2 linked regions of the Arabidopsis thaliana genome follow. The protein of the gene in region 2 purifies or fractionates together with the protein of the main gene of each other region. This does not show direct contact. Each region holds a gene or a part of one and is shown on either strand. Other genes may lie near its edges. The genes, in order: ATMND1 and LIG1.

The links.
Region 1: the proteins of LIG1 (region 2) and ATMND1 fractionate together in Arabidopsis thaliana (co-fractionation; one large-scale study listed by BioGRID). This does not show direct contact.

Annotation. Positions count from the first base shown.
Region 1 is NC_003075.7:14,381,255-14,386,093, reverse strand, and holds ATMND1 (Mnd1 family protein), read right to left. Parts: upstream 3,259-4,839; 5' UTR 3,110-3,258; coding exon 3,107-3,109; intron 2,638-3,106; exon of another isoform or gene 2,543-2,637; coding exon 2,462-2,542; intron 2,278-2,461; coding exon 2,161-2,277; intron 2,052-2,160; coding exon 2,013-2,051; intron 1,914-2,012; coding exon 1,806-1,913; intron 1,725-1,805; coding exon 1,662-1,724; intron 1,581-1,661; coding exon 1,529-1,580; coding exon of another isoform or gene 1,524-1,528; exon of another isoform or gene 1,388-1,523; coding exon 1,343-1,387; intron 1,247-1,342; coding exon 1,167-1,246; intron 1,071-1,166; coding exon 966-1,070; 3' UTR 629-965; downstream 1-628. Other genes in the region: RHS16 (root hair specific 16), read right to left, coding at 1-104, 385-463; SNF7.1 (SNF7 family protein), read right to left, coding at 3,752-3,946, 4,026-4,140, 4,311-4,402, 4,490-4,575, 4,654-4,753. UniProt on the Arabidopsis thaliana protein: Required for proper homologous chromosome pairing and efficient cross-over and intragenic recombination during meiosis.
Region 2 is NC_003070.9:2,542,140-2,549,883, forward strand, and holds LIG1 (DNA ligase 1), read right to left. Parts: upstream 5,808-7,744; 5' UTR 5,677-5,807; coding exon 4,891-5,676; intron 4,771-4,890; coding exon 4,654-4,770; intron 4,526-4,653; coding exon 4,424-4,525; intron 4,348-4,423; coding exon 4,231-4,347; intron 4,001-4,230; coding exon 3,770-4,000; intron 3,676-3,769; coding exon 3,581-3,675; intron 3,503-3,580; coding exon 3,415-3,502; intron 2,957-3,414; coding exon 2,825-2,956; intron 2,719-2,824; coding exon 2,606-2,718; intron 2,023-2,605; coding exon 1,921-2,022; intron 1,843-1,920; coding exon 1,781-1,842; intron 1,702-1,780; coding exon 1,630-1,701; intron 1,530-1,629; coding exon 1,456-1,529; intron 1,378-1,455; coding exon 1,321-1,377; intron 1,216-1,320; coding exon 1,138-1,215; intron 1,036-1,137; coding exon 958-1,035; intron 843-957; coding exon 774-842; 3' UTR 524-773; downstream 1-523. Other genes in the region: CHX6B (cation/H+ exchanger 6B), read right to left, coding at 6,680-7,111, 7,199-7,744. UniProt on the Arabidopsis thaliana protein: Essential protein. DNA ligase that seals nicks in double-stranded DNA during DNA replication, DNA recombination and DNA repair. Involved in repair of both single strand breaks (SSBs) and double strand breaks (DSBs).

The sequences.
Region 1 (4,839 bases), on a different chromosome or scaffold from region 2:
TACTCCAGCGTTGATGAAAGGTGCATCCCAGGTGTAACTGATACCAGTATCAGTGTCTACATAGTTAATATTAGGGGGTGACCCACAATCTATGCTGATGAAACCTGGACCAGAAGAAGGTAAGGGTTTTGATTAATTCTACAACGTTGAGAAAATTTTCATCAAAATTCCAATGCAGGTTTAAATTTTAGAACCTAAAGCATTCAATCATAGAAACAGACTTGGACCTCACTTATCATGTCAAACCAATAATCAGAACACGGTTTTGGCCAAAATGCAACCACATATATCAAAACTTCAAAAATCTTTGGTCTGAAGATTGCTCATTTTCAAATCAAAACAGACTCTAACAGAGGAAAATAAGCGAGAATGAGACTCACGAACCTGCTTGGCCTTGGCCATGTACTACAATGGCAATGGCAATGACGGAAAAAAGGATGAGAAAAACAGAGTGAGCTCCCATGTTCTTCTTATTTTGTAAAGCTCAGCTCATCATCGTCAGAAAAACAGACAACCTGCGTTTAAGATAACACAAAAACACAAAAGACTAGAAAGTACAAAGTCTATGCCCATTTCCTCTTCTGGTAGCAACAAAATTGACCTGGAGGTGTATAACATAAGTGCTGCTCACGACTGAAAAAAGCGGCCAAGAAAGAATATAAAATGGTAATACAGCTATCAAGAAGTAACCAGTGGGTCAACAACTAACGCATGATATATATATAACTCCAATAAAATATTATAACAAAACATAGCCAAGCTTGGACATAGCCGACAGATACAAAGAAAATAAAAATCTTTTCTGACCACAGAATTTGTAACCGAGTTTTGACATTAGATGATTGGGTCACATAGAGAATTACAGACTGTTGCAACCTTTAAAACCAGAAAACTTAAAAGGATAGTGAAAAGATTTTTTACTTAAGCTATTGTTTCTTTAACTGTTATGCTGGAGAGTATTAGAACTAAGCTTCATCTTGTACTAGCTGCTTTGCGGTATCAGCTTCATGGGATGAGCTCAAAGGGAATGATGATAACTCTATGTAATCAAAGTCCTCAGTGATTCCCGCCTGAAAGTTACCCAGCTGATTTAGTCTCTCCTTCATGTATGAGAATGTGAAATGTGGAATTTATAGCCTTTTGAAGTGAAAAGATCTGGAAGATACCTCCGTGTATAGATGTTCTAGCTGTTCCTTGGCCTGGGGGAAGTTGTTTGAACACCATTGTCGCAGTGTGAAGATGTTATCTGAGTAAGTTTGAAAGAATTATAATCTAGGCTGCAGTGAAAATTACGTAAGTATTAAAACTGAAAACACATTCCCAAGTTTTAGAAATGAAATACCTGTCCATCTGTTAGCCGACTGGTGAGCAACTTCAATTGCATTCCCTGTCAAAATTAGAAGGAATATACACATTGATACAGCTAGTAAAGCACAAGATTGATTCTTATTTCTGCTCCACGAAGACCGGGAAAACCATATAGGAGATCTAACACAAAACAAAAGTAACGTATTATGCAGAACTTAACTCTTTGCCTCCAAAGTAGCTGGATCGTTGTCAGCAAATTGTACCATCTCGTTCTGTTTAAGAAGAAGAAACTGTTAGCAACTTGTTAAGCATGTGAATAGCTCTATGCAAACAGATAGTCTGTATAATCTGACCTTCAGATCTTTGTGTTTCTTTTCAATATCTTTGAGTTGCGTCAAGGCCTCTGTTCGTTCCTCCTGCAGCAAGAACAGCAATTCTGGTGAAAAGCACACGTAAGCTTATTCGAGCATTAATTCTACAATACTGAAAATACTTACCGATTCTTCCCTTCCCTTCTTTAGGGCCTCACACTGATCAACAAGTTCTGCTAACCTTTTGTTACTACCCTGAAGATCAGATTCAAGTTTCTGGCGAACACTCCTAAGCTGTTCATTCAAAATGAGATCAGAAACAATGAATTTCGCTATGCTCAAATTAATATGAATCTTTTTGATGTCATCTCAGGATACAGAACGGTGACTCACTTGATTGCCAGCACAGCTGGGAAGGCTCCAAAAGTAGATCTTCATTTGCAAAATAATGAACACCGTCAAACAACATATAACAGAGACAAGGACTATATGGCAACAAATGAAATAAAAAGATCCAACATAGGAACACTAAGCTACTCACAGAAATTCCAATCTTGTCTTTCGCAACAAGATCATCATCGACTAAACTCTGGATAACATCTTTCACAGACTGACTAATTACACCCTTCTTCGGCCCCATCTTCTCAAGTTCCTTTAGCTGAAATTTTTTTACAAAAGTAGAGACCCATAAGTGCTTGTATCACAAACCCAAAAGTTCAATAGCAACAAATTTAGGCAGTATATGCACTTCACGACTCTAGATATCAGATCACTTGGTAGATAAAGCTAGTTCAAAGGCGTCCAAAAATTAGCAAGTTGTAAAAACTAAAGAAAGTGCTCACTAGGAAGAAGTCTTGAGACTCATAGAATATCTGAAGCATCTTCTCTCGTTTCTCCTCCAGCGAAAGTCCCCGTTTCTTAGACTGAATATCATCAACAATAGAAAGCAGCGATTCAGTTGATACGAGAATGACGAAAAAAAACTTCAGAGCTTCAATGACGAAATCCAACAAATGATCTGTCAACAAATAGTTTCCAGATCGAAAATGTCAAAAATATATACAGTCAACTCAGCGACTACACTGATTGCGAGAATTGGCTGCTAGATAAATGCTAATTCGAGAACCTATCGATTCGCGTCATGCAGTCCAAGTGTTTGCGGAAATTCCTCACACAAATTTGTAATGAACTACGGAAGATAGAAACATTACTACCGATGAACGATAAGTTTAAACAAATTTCTTCGAAGAGTAAGAGAAACACATAACGATGACTACTAAACATTCAAACAAATAGGTCGAATCAATACATCCAAAATTCTCTTGTAAGTCGAAGAATCACAAGCTAAGATCATCAGTGTAAGATAATCACGATTCATAGAATCATAGAGAATAATCACTCGATCTTCCCAGGAAAATGCACAAATCACAGAGGTTCATTAGCGAAACAAAATCACAAGTAGAGAACATTCGTCCAGAGTATATTACCATCGTGATCTCTTGCTCCTGGTGATGCAATCCAAAGGATTTCAAACACTGCTACAGCTCTCTCTCACTCTCTTCCCTCACTATCGTCTCCTCTCTTTATCAAATTCGAAATGAGAGAATTGTAGAAGAAGCCTTGAAAACTTAAGCGGGTTATTATCCCTCGCTTTCTGTTTCATTTTTTATTCCAATTAATTTGAATTTAACCTTAAAACGACACGGAGTCCAATTTTATGGTACCAAAACGGCATGATGTTTGTTAAAGCAGCGAAGTCAACGTATATGGTTGACTATTCATGAGTAGTCTTATCAGGCGAAAGTGATGAACATAGGAGTAAAGTGATTATTAACCAAAGGAAAAAGTGTCATAAAAAGATACAAAAATTACAAAAGATAAATTATGTGAAGAACACTCAAATTGCAGATAACATTAACGACGGGGATTATAAAAGTTTTTCGCTCCGAATTAATCTGATTCAGATCCTTATATACATCGTCTGTTCGTGTCTATCAATGCATACATGTCTCTGCTCGGAGAGGTGAATAACCTGCAGTTAAACCAAGCCAATTGCAAAACTAGTTAAATTACAAATCCATAGTCTGTAAGCAAATTGATTGATTTTGCTTTGATTATAGATAGAAGAGACCTTAGAGGGCCATCTCAGCCTGTAATGCAGCGAGTTCTTCTTCCTCAGCAGTCCGCTTCTGGGGAACAGGACGAGCCGGTTGACGCCCTGCAGGCACTGGAACTGAAGGCAATGGAGGAGCTGTTGTTGCCGGCTGTAGAAGTTGCGATTCAAGCTCTTCACTTTCTAGTTCATCAAGCTCTGCTGCAAGCTCATCCTATCAAAGAGAAGTTTTTCTTAGACAAAAGTCATTATTAGTTGAAAAATATATGATCATTTGGGTACAAGAAAGTTACCTCGTCGAAGTCAGCCGCTGCCCCCATTGGAGTCGCCAATGCTTCTTGGATCTGTTTCATGTTCTCGGTTTGCTCATTGATCTCGTCCATGGTCTTATCCACATCATCAATATTTCTGCAAAATATTGTGTTTTGAGTTAGTCAGGCACTAGAAATGTTAAAGCATTCAAGCACAAGAAAAGCATAAGTATTTTGAATACCAAGCTCGTATTAACGATTCCCAGAACTGATGACGGTTAAAATGGTAGTAAAGAGTAATATGGTGAAAATGTGATGAACACTTACGTTGCTTTCTGCATTGCCTTCATTGCAGAAGCTCCACTCCTCAATGCATCAACAGTTTCGGTTGTTGCTTTTGCACCTTCTAACATAATCATCTGTATGACAAAAAGATATAAGATCCCAATAAATTCATCTAATTACTGCTATATAGTTTATAGTTAACAATCTTAAAACAAACTCACTTGATCATGAATACGGAGCTGGAAATTCCCAAGCTGTTCGACTTGTCCCTCATATAACCTCTTCCTTTTCAAACACTGTATAGCCGCTGCAAAAACCCAATACAGCTTTTAAGTACTCCAGTGATTAGCAACACACATGAGTCATAATAAATAAGAGGTCATACCTCGTTTGTTCTTAGCCCGGGAGTATTCTTTTGCCTTCTCAACCTCTGCACCAGCTTTCTTCAAGAGTACTTTCTCCTTTTTCTCTAGCATCTCAAGCGTCTGCAATGAACAAATCAACAAAATTTGAATATGGTTTAAAAGCAAACGATCATATAAATTGTACTCAGAAATCCCCAATTCAATCG
Region 2 (7,744 bases):
TGCGCAAAGCTTATAACAAAAAAAATTGTCTGATAATGAATCATAAGCCAAGTTAGAGGATAGATAAAGTGGAATACCTGTCGGGATCCATTTGTTCGTCGTCCGATCGAAACACAAACTACGGCGATTTATCGTTTCAAGTAGATTTTCAGTAAAGGCGTTTAAGTTCCAGTCGAGCATATGGGAAACGACGCCCAAGGCCAAAACCTCTGCCTCACCAAGAGGTGTTAAGCCTTTTGAGGTTTTAAGCCTTTTGAGGTTTTAAGCCTTTTGAGGTTTCGTCTTTTTACACTTCGGCCCAAATCCAGTTTAATGAGTTAATTTGTGGACCTATTACAATTACATGTTTATTGGTTTTAAAACCTACGGTTTAGGCCCACCTACTATACAGTATTTAACTATTTATTTATCTTGCTTCGAGTGAGACTACAAACCAGAGGCTCGTCTTCTGCTGACAACTATTAAACTCATAAGCCAATGATGTAGTTACTGTATCTTGCCTCAAGTATCCTGTTTCTACTGTAAACATATTCCACATTTCTGCCAATCATAGATAGCTCAGTGATGTCAATCAGGGCAGTGTTTTTATTCATTCCAGAGTCAGTTGATGAGTGTACCAATTTTTTTCCAGAACCTTTCATTCACTTTTCCTAAAAGCAGTTTTACATAAGCAGTTACAGTTGAAAACTCAAACACGCAATGTGCATCATTAGCAAGTTACGAGCAATGTCGTACATACGAGGAAATGTGCTCTGAGGCCAGATTACTGTTGTTCAATCATCGTCACCTTTGACTTCATTACTTGGATGATTGTGTTTCTGAGCTTGGTACAAATCAGCAATCTGAAAATGTGCAGGGAAAATTGAGAATTAGAAAAAGGAAAAGAGTTTCAAAACCAGTCTGGTCTTGTCTTTCCAGTATTGAAAACATATGAGTGTAATTAGAATGAAACTTCACCTGCTCAGATGATGTTGCTTCCTCGGGCTTCTTGTCTTCCCGTACACGAAGTAGACGAGGAAAACGAAGAGAAATCCCCTTTTAACGAAACAAAATTGAAAACCAATACGTAACAATATATCAGCAGAGATATTCAAACCAAAAAGGAAAAAGAAGAAAATAAGTCGGAGAAAGTTAAACCTTATCAGGATCCACTATGCCAGTAGCTGCACGGTGCACAGGGCTAATTGTTAAGTCAGCTGCTTTCACTTCCCAGACCTTTAAGCAAACATATTTTTTACCTTTCATTTCAACCCATACGATAGAATGGCGAAACTAATAAATATAAGATAACATTTTGAGTACAAGCAAACATAATCCTACCTCAGTGGGCTCAAACCAAACATCTGGATTGAGGCTGTCTCCAACTCGGTAGTATTGCTGGATATTTGAATCATTACAATTAAATAAGAATTCATGCTAGAGACATATATGATAAGGAAGAAGAAAATATCCTACTTTTGGAGTAGCAATCACTTGAGAGCGAAGACTGGACGACCGCTCGTCAAGCATGGCATCAGAAAATCCAGTACCTAGTAGCCCAAACCGTATAACCAAGGTTTAAGAAACTTGAAAAACTGAACACACATACATAATATGAAATACCAAGGTGTATTCATGTATTCGACTGACCAATTTTACAAATGCTCTGGAACTCTTCCTTATCAACATCATAGCAAGCGAGTAAAAATGCACCATAGACACCTAGAAGGAAATCATAAGGCTTTGTTAAGAGCATAGAGAATGAAGAATGTATCATCCAATGTATTTTCGTGGTTTTCACCTGTGCGTTTTCCACGTCCATGGAAAGCAGCAATTGGTACAAGATCCACAGAGTCCCCAATGCTGCACATGTAATCCTATAGTCAGTAAAAAACTGTTCGATTTAAACTTTTTTAAGAAAAATGTTTAAGAGAGTCTTGCCTGTCCATATAGTCTTTCTTCAGTTTTAGCCAATTATTTGATCGCTTTGCAGGCTCATAGGTAGCATCTGAGTCCAATGTTTTAATGATTAAACCTTCGCAGCTGCAAAAGAAAAAAAGAATATATAGATGAACGGGAACATCATAGAGATAAAAGGCATAGGCCTATGTAATAGACATAGGTGTAGAGAAATCACAACATGCGTGGGTCAAATTGCTAAAAATGCAATTTTCATCCTGAAGGCAAATCATGAAAATCGAAACAGCATAGAGATATTGAAGCAGAACTCAATGTCATATCATATATCACTACAGGCATGGTCAAATTGTTAATTTATCATATCCTTAAACATGTAACAGATAATTGGATAACTATCTAAAATAGAATACCCGAAATGAGTAAATATCTACCAGAATCTCTAAATTTATGTGAACTCAGATGAAGGTGAAAGATGGTGCTAAAGAGAAGATGCTAGGCAACAATCAGTACGAGTATGATCAAATTGCTAAATTATCATACCCTTGAACATATAAAGATAACTCTCTAAAATAAAAAATACCTGAAAGCAGTAAATATCTACCAAAATCTCTAACTAATATGCTACTAAAGAGAAAGTGATATGCAACAATTTACACCAAAGTTTACTGCACTTTTTAGAGATACAGAGAAGTGTCAAGAGATATACCCAACATCAACAGAAGCGTCAAGAAACTTTTGTATTTCATCGATATCGTTAGATGTTACAGCAGTTGCAAACTGGAAATACCCAGGATCTTCCTCAAATGATTCGTATAGCTTCTGCTAGAAGCAAGGTGAACACAAATGATTACATATTTGCACAACAAGAACTTGACTGCAACCAAAGAAAAACAAAATATTATAATGATATACAGATATTGCTCACCTCTCGGCGAATTTTAAGATTCTCCTGGATAAGTTGTTGGCCATTTAGATATAACATGTCAAAAGCAAAGATGCATACGCCAACCTTGATATCATTGACATTCACATTTTTACGGGCTCGAGTGCTCAAAATCTGGAAAAAGAAAAGAAAAAAAAAGAGAGAGAAAAAAGACATCAAGTCAAATAGTTTGAAATAGCTAACTTCAACTAATGTAAATTAATCCAATAACAGGAGCTTTATAACAATTGATATATATTAACAATCCTCTTCACACCAACACTAAACATAAGCAAAAATTAGGTGAATCACCAAAACTGTCTGAGTGCCATTAAAGATCCATAAGTGTAACAAGGTTTATTCAGTAACGTTGGCAAAATTAAAGGTTAGACAGTGTCCAAAACCCGAAAATCTGGTCTAAAAGAGCATTACAGCTATGCTTATTTCTTAATTCACTGGCTAACAAGATGGAAACTCTAACACATTTAACATTTCTCTGGCATTTCTATAAAATAACATACCGTAAATGAATAGACAAAATATAAGGCTGCAACCATACTTTAATATCAGAACGCTATTCACTTATGAGTTACCTGGAACGGAAGAATTTTCTTTTTCTCCCTGTCGAAAGCAACAACTTCACAATCCAGAATAAAAGATTTCACAGAAGGCTTCTTTAATCTGCATTGAGATGTTTCACTAACTTCAGTAGAAAGATTGAATCTCTAATGTTTTCAACCAGTTACACCAGATGTTTACCTTGATAACGCAAGAGCAACATCCGGGTACTTCCCAGTGTTTCTTTCAGCATTTCGACTGTATATCTCAAATGTACCATCCTCCATAAAATGTATCTGCAGAAATTGATTGATGATAAGCCATACCATATTTAAATAACTCATATCTAAGAATAGCATTCATCCTAATTCAGTAGACACCAAATATCACCTGTGCACGTTCCCCATCATATTTGTATTCACATGTGAAAACGATGTCCTGGAATTTATTCAGTATCTCAGCTACACCTTTGGTTGGTTTTGCAAGCATGGGTCCAATTGGAACACCCAATGTAAAGTTACAAGTTTTTGGAAGATTCCACACACCGCCACTTAGAAGAGCAGGAACAATAATGTCATAGACAGGAAGTACAGTGAATACTTGTTTAACAATCTTTGCAGCCTACAAGAACAGAGCAGAATGATGGATCCAGGAAAGAAGTGTAATGGCATAAGATTACAGAAATGCATAGAAGGTAAATTGTGACGTCTCTCAAAGAATACTACATAGAGATCCTACAGCAACACAACATCCTTAGAGTAGCTCAGAAAATATATTTTTACTCACAAAACTCGGAAAGAAGGATTCTGATATATAAGTGGGAGATACAAAAACAAAAAGAGATAGCAGACCTCTTCTAAAGGAGACTTGGTATTTGGGGGTGGCTTTGAGTGCTCTTCATTATATACAGCGGCTTGTCCCAATGCGGCTAAGACAGTCTGACCTGAGAACCCTAACCGCAATTTTGCCTGCAAGGTAAATTAAGAAGGGCGAAATAAGGAACCCAAACGGATAAGCAGAAAAATAGTGGCGGTTGATGCATACCTGAAGTAATCGTGTTAAGTAAAGAGGTTCACAGTCTGTTGTCGCCACAAGAAGTGCCTTCATTCGATTCTTCTTCTTTTCATTACTATCTTTTCCACTTTCCTGTAATAGTTAACATGCAATAGTCCCACTCATCTTCTATGCAGTCAGACAAAAAGACGGTTGACTGAATCTCAATTGAAAGCATAAACAAAATTTCAAGCATTCAAAAGCCACAAGGTTATAAATACCTTAGCAATTTGTCGAAACGTATCGAAAACCTTGACAACAGTCAATGGTTCGGGCTTGAACATCATAGTCTGAGTCGAACGGCTTCCTTTTGCTACAAGTCCCAAGTCTCCCAGTTCCTATAAATCAAGTTCAATTTCAGAACTGCTAATTTTCTTATTCAAAAACCTTATAGCAATTCCACACCAGACAAGCTCATTGAATTACAAGGCAACAAAAGTTTTAAAAAGTCAACATACCGTATTCTGCTTCTTAACATGATCCTCAGTTCTACCAAAAGCCTCAGAGATAGCCTTGATAATTGTACTCTCACCAATTCCCAATTCTACACCTTCATGAGCCGGGGCAATCTCATTCGCCGAAAGATAAACAGTAGCGACCAAATCCTCAGGAGTAGTGGCAATAACAGTTCTCAACATGTTACACAGAATATCAGTAATCACAATCCGGCCACTTTCATTTGAGATCAGATCAAAAGCCAATGCGACAAACAGAAACGGAACTCTCTCCCCTTTCTCCCAGCAAGACATTTTTTCAGGATCGAAATCATTCGGCTTCTTCTTCAGCAATCCAATTTTGCTCTTCATTTCGTCTGTCTTGCTCAAAGTCTTAGCCTTTTTCGCTCCCGTCTTTGAATCCTCCGCAATTGACGATGTATCCGATCTGGGATTTGCAGAATCAGAAACAGGCTCCAGCAGATCCTCCGTTTTTGGAAGTGTACCTTCGGAAACAATAGTTTTGCCCAAATTAGCATCTTGGGTTTCTCCAATTTTCCTTTTGTTCGGCGAGCGAGACAAATTAGTTGTCTGGGGAGTCTTCTTCTTGGCGGCTGCACGAGCATTGGACATGAGAGCATCAAATGCAGAAGGGCGGGAAGAAGACATGGCTCTATGGCACGAGCTAAGACGCAAGTGGGAAATTTGGCGGCTAAAAGAGATTAACACGGAGGAGAATTGAGAGATTTGGGTTTTAGTACAGAGAGAAGGTATGCATCGGAGGTAATTCGACGATCGAATCGCTAACATCAGTCGATTTTGAAATTAGGGTTTTAGAAAGGACAGGTGTTGCAAGTTTGCAACCTTGAAGAAAGGTGATAATATATTGGCGGCAGAATTTCTCACCCGCCACTCTCTCCTTTATGTTGGGCCAAATTAGGACCACCTGAAGAAGCGGGCTAAGATATCTTAAGATGGTTCGGATTTGCCGAAAGAATACGATTTTTTATCCAGAGTTTCTACCTGTAATTACTAATTAGGGTTAGTCCAAATCTTTAATAGATCCCAATGATCAAATTTTATTTTTTTGAAAACTTCAAATTTGGACAAAATTGTGATGATTATTTCAAAGGTTATTGTAAATATAATATTTTATAAATTACATCAAATGCTATCACTAATGGATACTCATACACTAAACTGTGCCCTAGTTTTAAATTTTTGTTATTGGGCCTTTTTATTTTATGTGGGTCTATGATATGGAAAAAATATCGTTATAGCCCAATAGACAGTATAATGTCAGCCCAAACGTGACGCGTATGGTTATCGAACTGTGAAATCTAAGTATCTTACTCATTCGCACAATGAGCGCGTAGACGCCACCTATCCGAAATCCATGCGAAATTGCTGTTTTCCGTAAAATTAAAAAATTAAGCGCGTGAAGGGCTGTTTACGAGTTCCTCAACTTTTAATCTTTATCTTGTTTAATTGGCCAATTAGGATACAAATCTTAGTGTAGAATTAAAATAAAACACATATTTCAATAATTTAGTGGTTGCACATGCACCCTGTATTTCTTCACTAAATCCGCCTGTTAATTTGTGGGATCGATGATTTACCTTCTCATCACCTAGTATATGTATTTCTCCCCTATACATGAATGATGAACATGTGTTTTGTAGTCCTTACAACACAAAAAAATCTATTGTGTGCTTCCTATAAGATCCGTTACACTTTGTTTGTAAAGGATCTTAATTTCAATAAGGAAAATAAACCAAGATTGAAGCTAACTCAATTTCAGGATAAATGCTTCTCACTCTTGTTGTTGGACGACTAACACGGAGGCTCTAGAAGGAAAATATTCAGATGCTAACAAATCTCCAATGACTCCAAGTTCTTCGAATTCCATCCAATCCCCGAGTCCTCTGGTGACTGTAGTACCAACCCCACTTCTTCGACCGACTATGAATAGATCATAGTCGTAAGACACGGAGTGCAAAATTTTGGATGTCTCTGTGCCATCTCCCACCGTCCAGTCAATGATGGTTGACTTATCTCCAGGCCTTTGGTCTTCATGACGGTTCATGTCTACCATTTGGCTATGAATCCTCAAGCTACTCTCATCGGCATAAGACGTAGGGATCAGACGCAAGACCGTTAGAATCACTTGTTGGTTACCTCTCATGTGGTCAGCTAATGCCAGGGCCTCTTTGTCGTCATTCCCACCCACGTAAATCAAGCACACCTGCATTTAATGTATGAAAATAAAAAATATTCAACATCATTTAGAATAAACAAAAAAAAACAAAAAAAAAAGAATGTAGTTACTTACACGGCACGGAGATTCTAGGGCTTTGGTTTGCCAAATTGGTTTGCGATAAACAAAGATTCCGACAGAACAAGGGGCGCGTTTCAGAACATTAAGATTAAGACTTCTTAGGGTTTGATCGTCTGAGATAATGACATTTCCGTTAGGCTCCCAAGTGCGGTGAAACGAGAGGAGAATAAGATTGGAACCTTGACTAAGAGCAAACCAACATATTTGTTCATGCATCTCTTTAGCGGAAGTTAAAGACGTGAACATGTTTATGGAAGCGGAGTCCCAATAAACCTCTTGAAACAGTTGGAAAGAGCTTATGACATTTTCGGAATAAGACCGACTTCCAGGCTTTGGTTTTTGAAGCTGGTGGGAGATAAACGTGGGAGTAGCTTGACCCAATAACTCTATTAGGTGAAGAACACAACATTCCATTGGAGAGTCTTTAGATGGGGAAGTTGCTCTAAGAAGGCTAATCATCGATGTTATGTTGTCAGGCTTGTTGATGCACACCAGCGTTTGCATTTCTGGCTTCTCTTTCAAGTTTCTTCTTCCGTAACA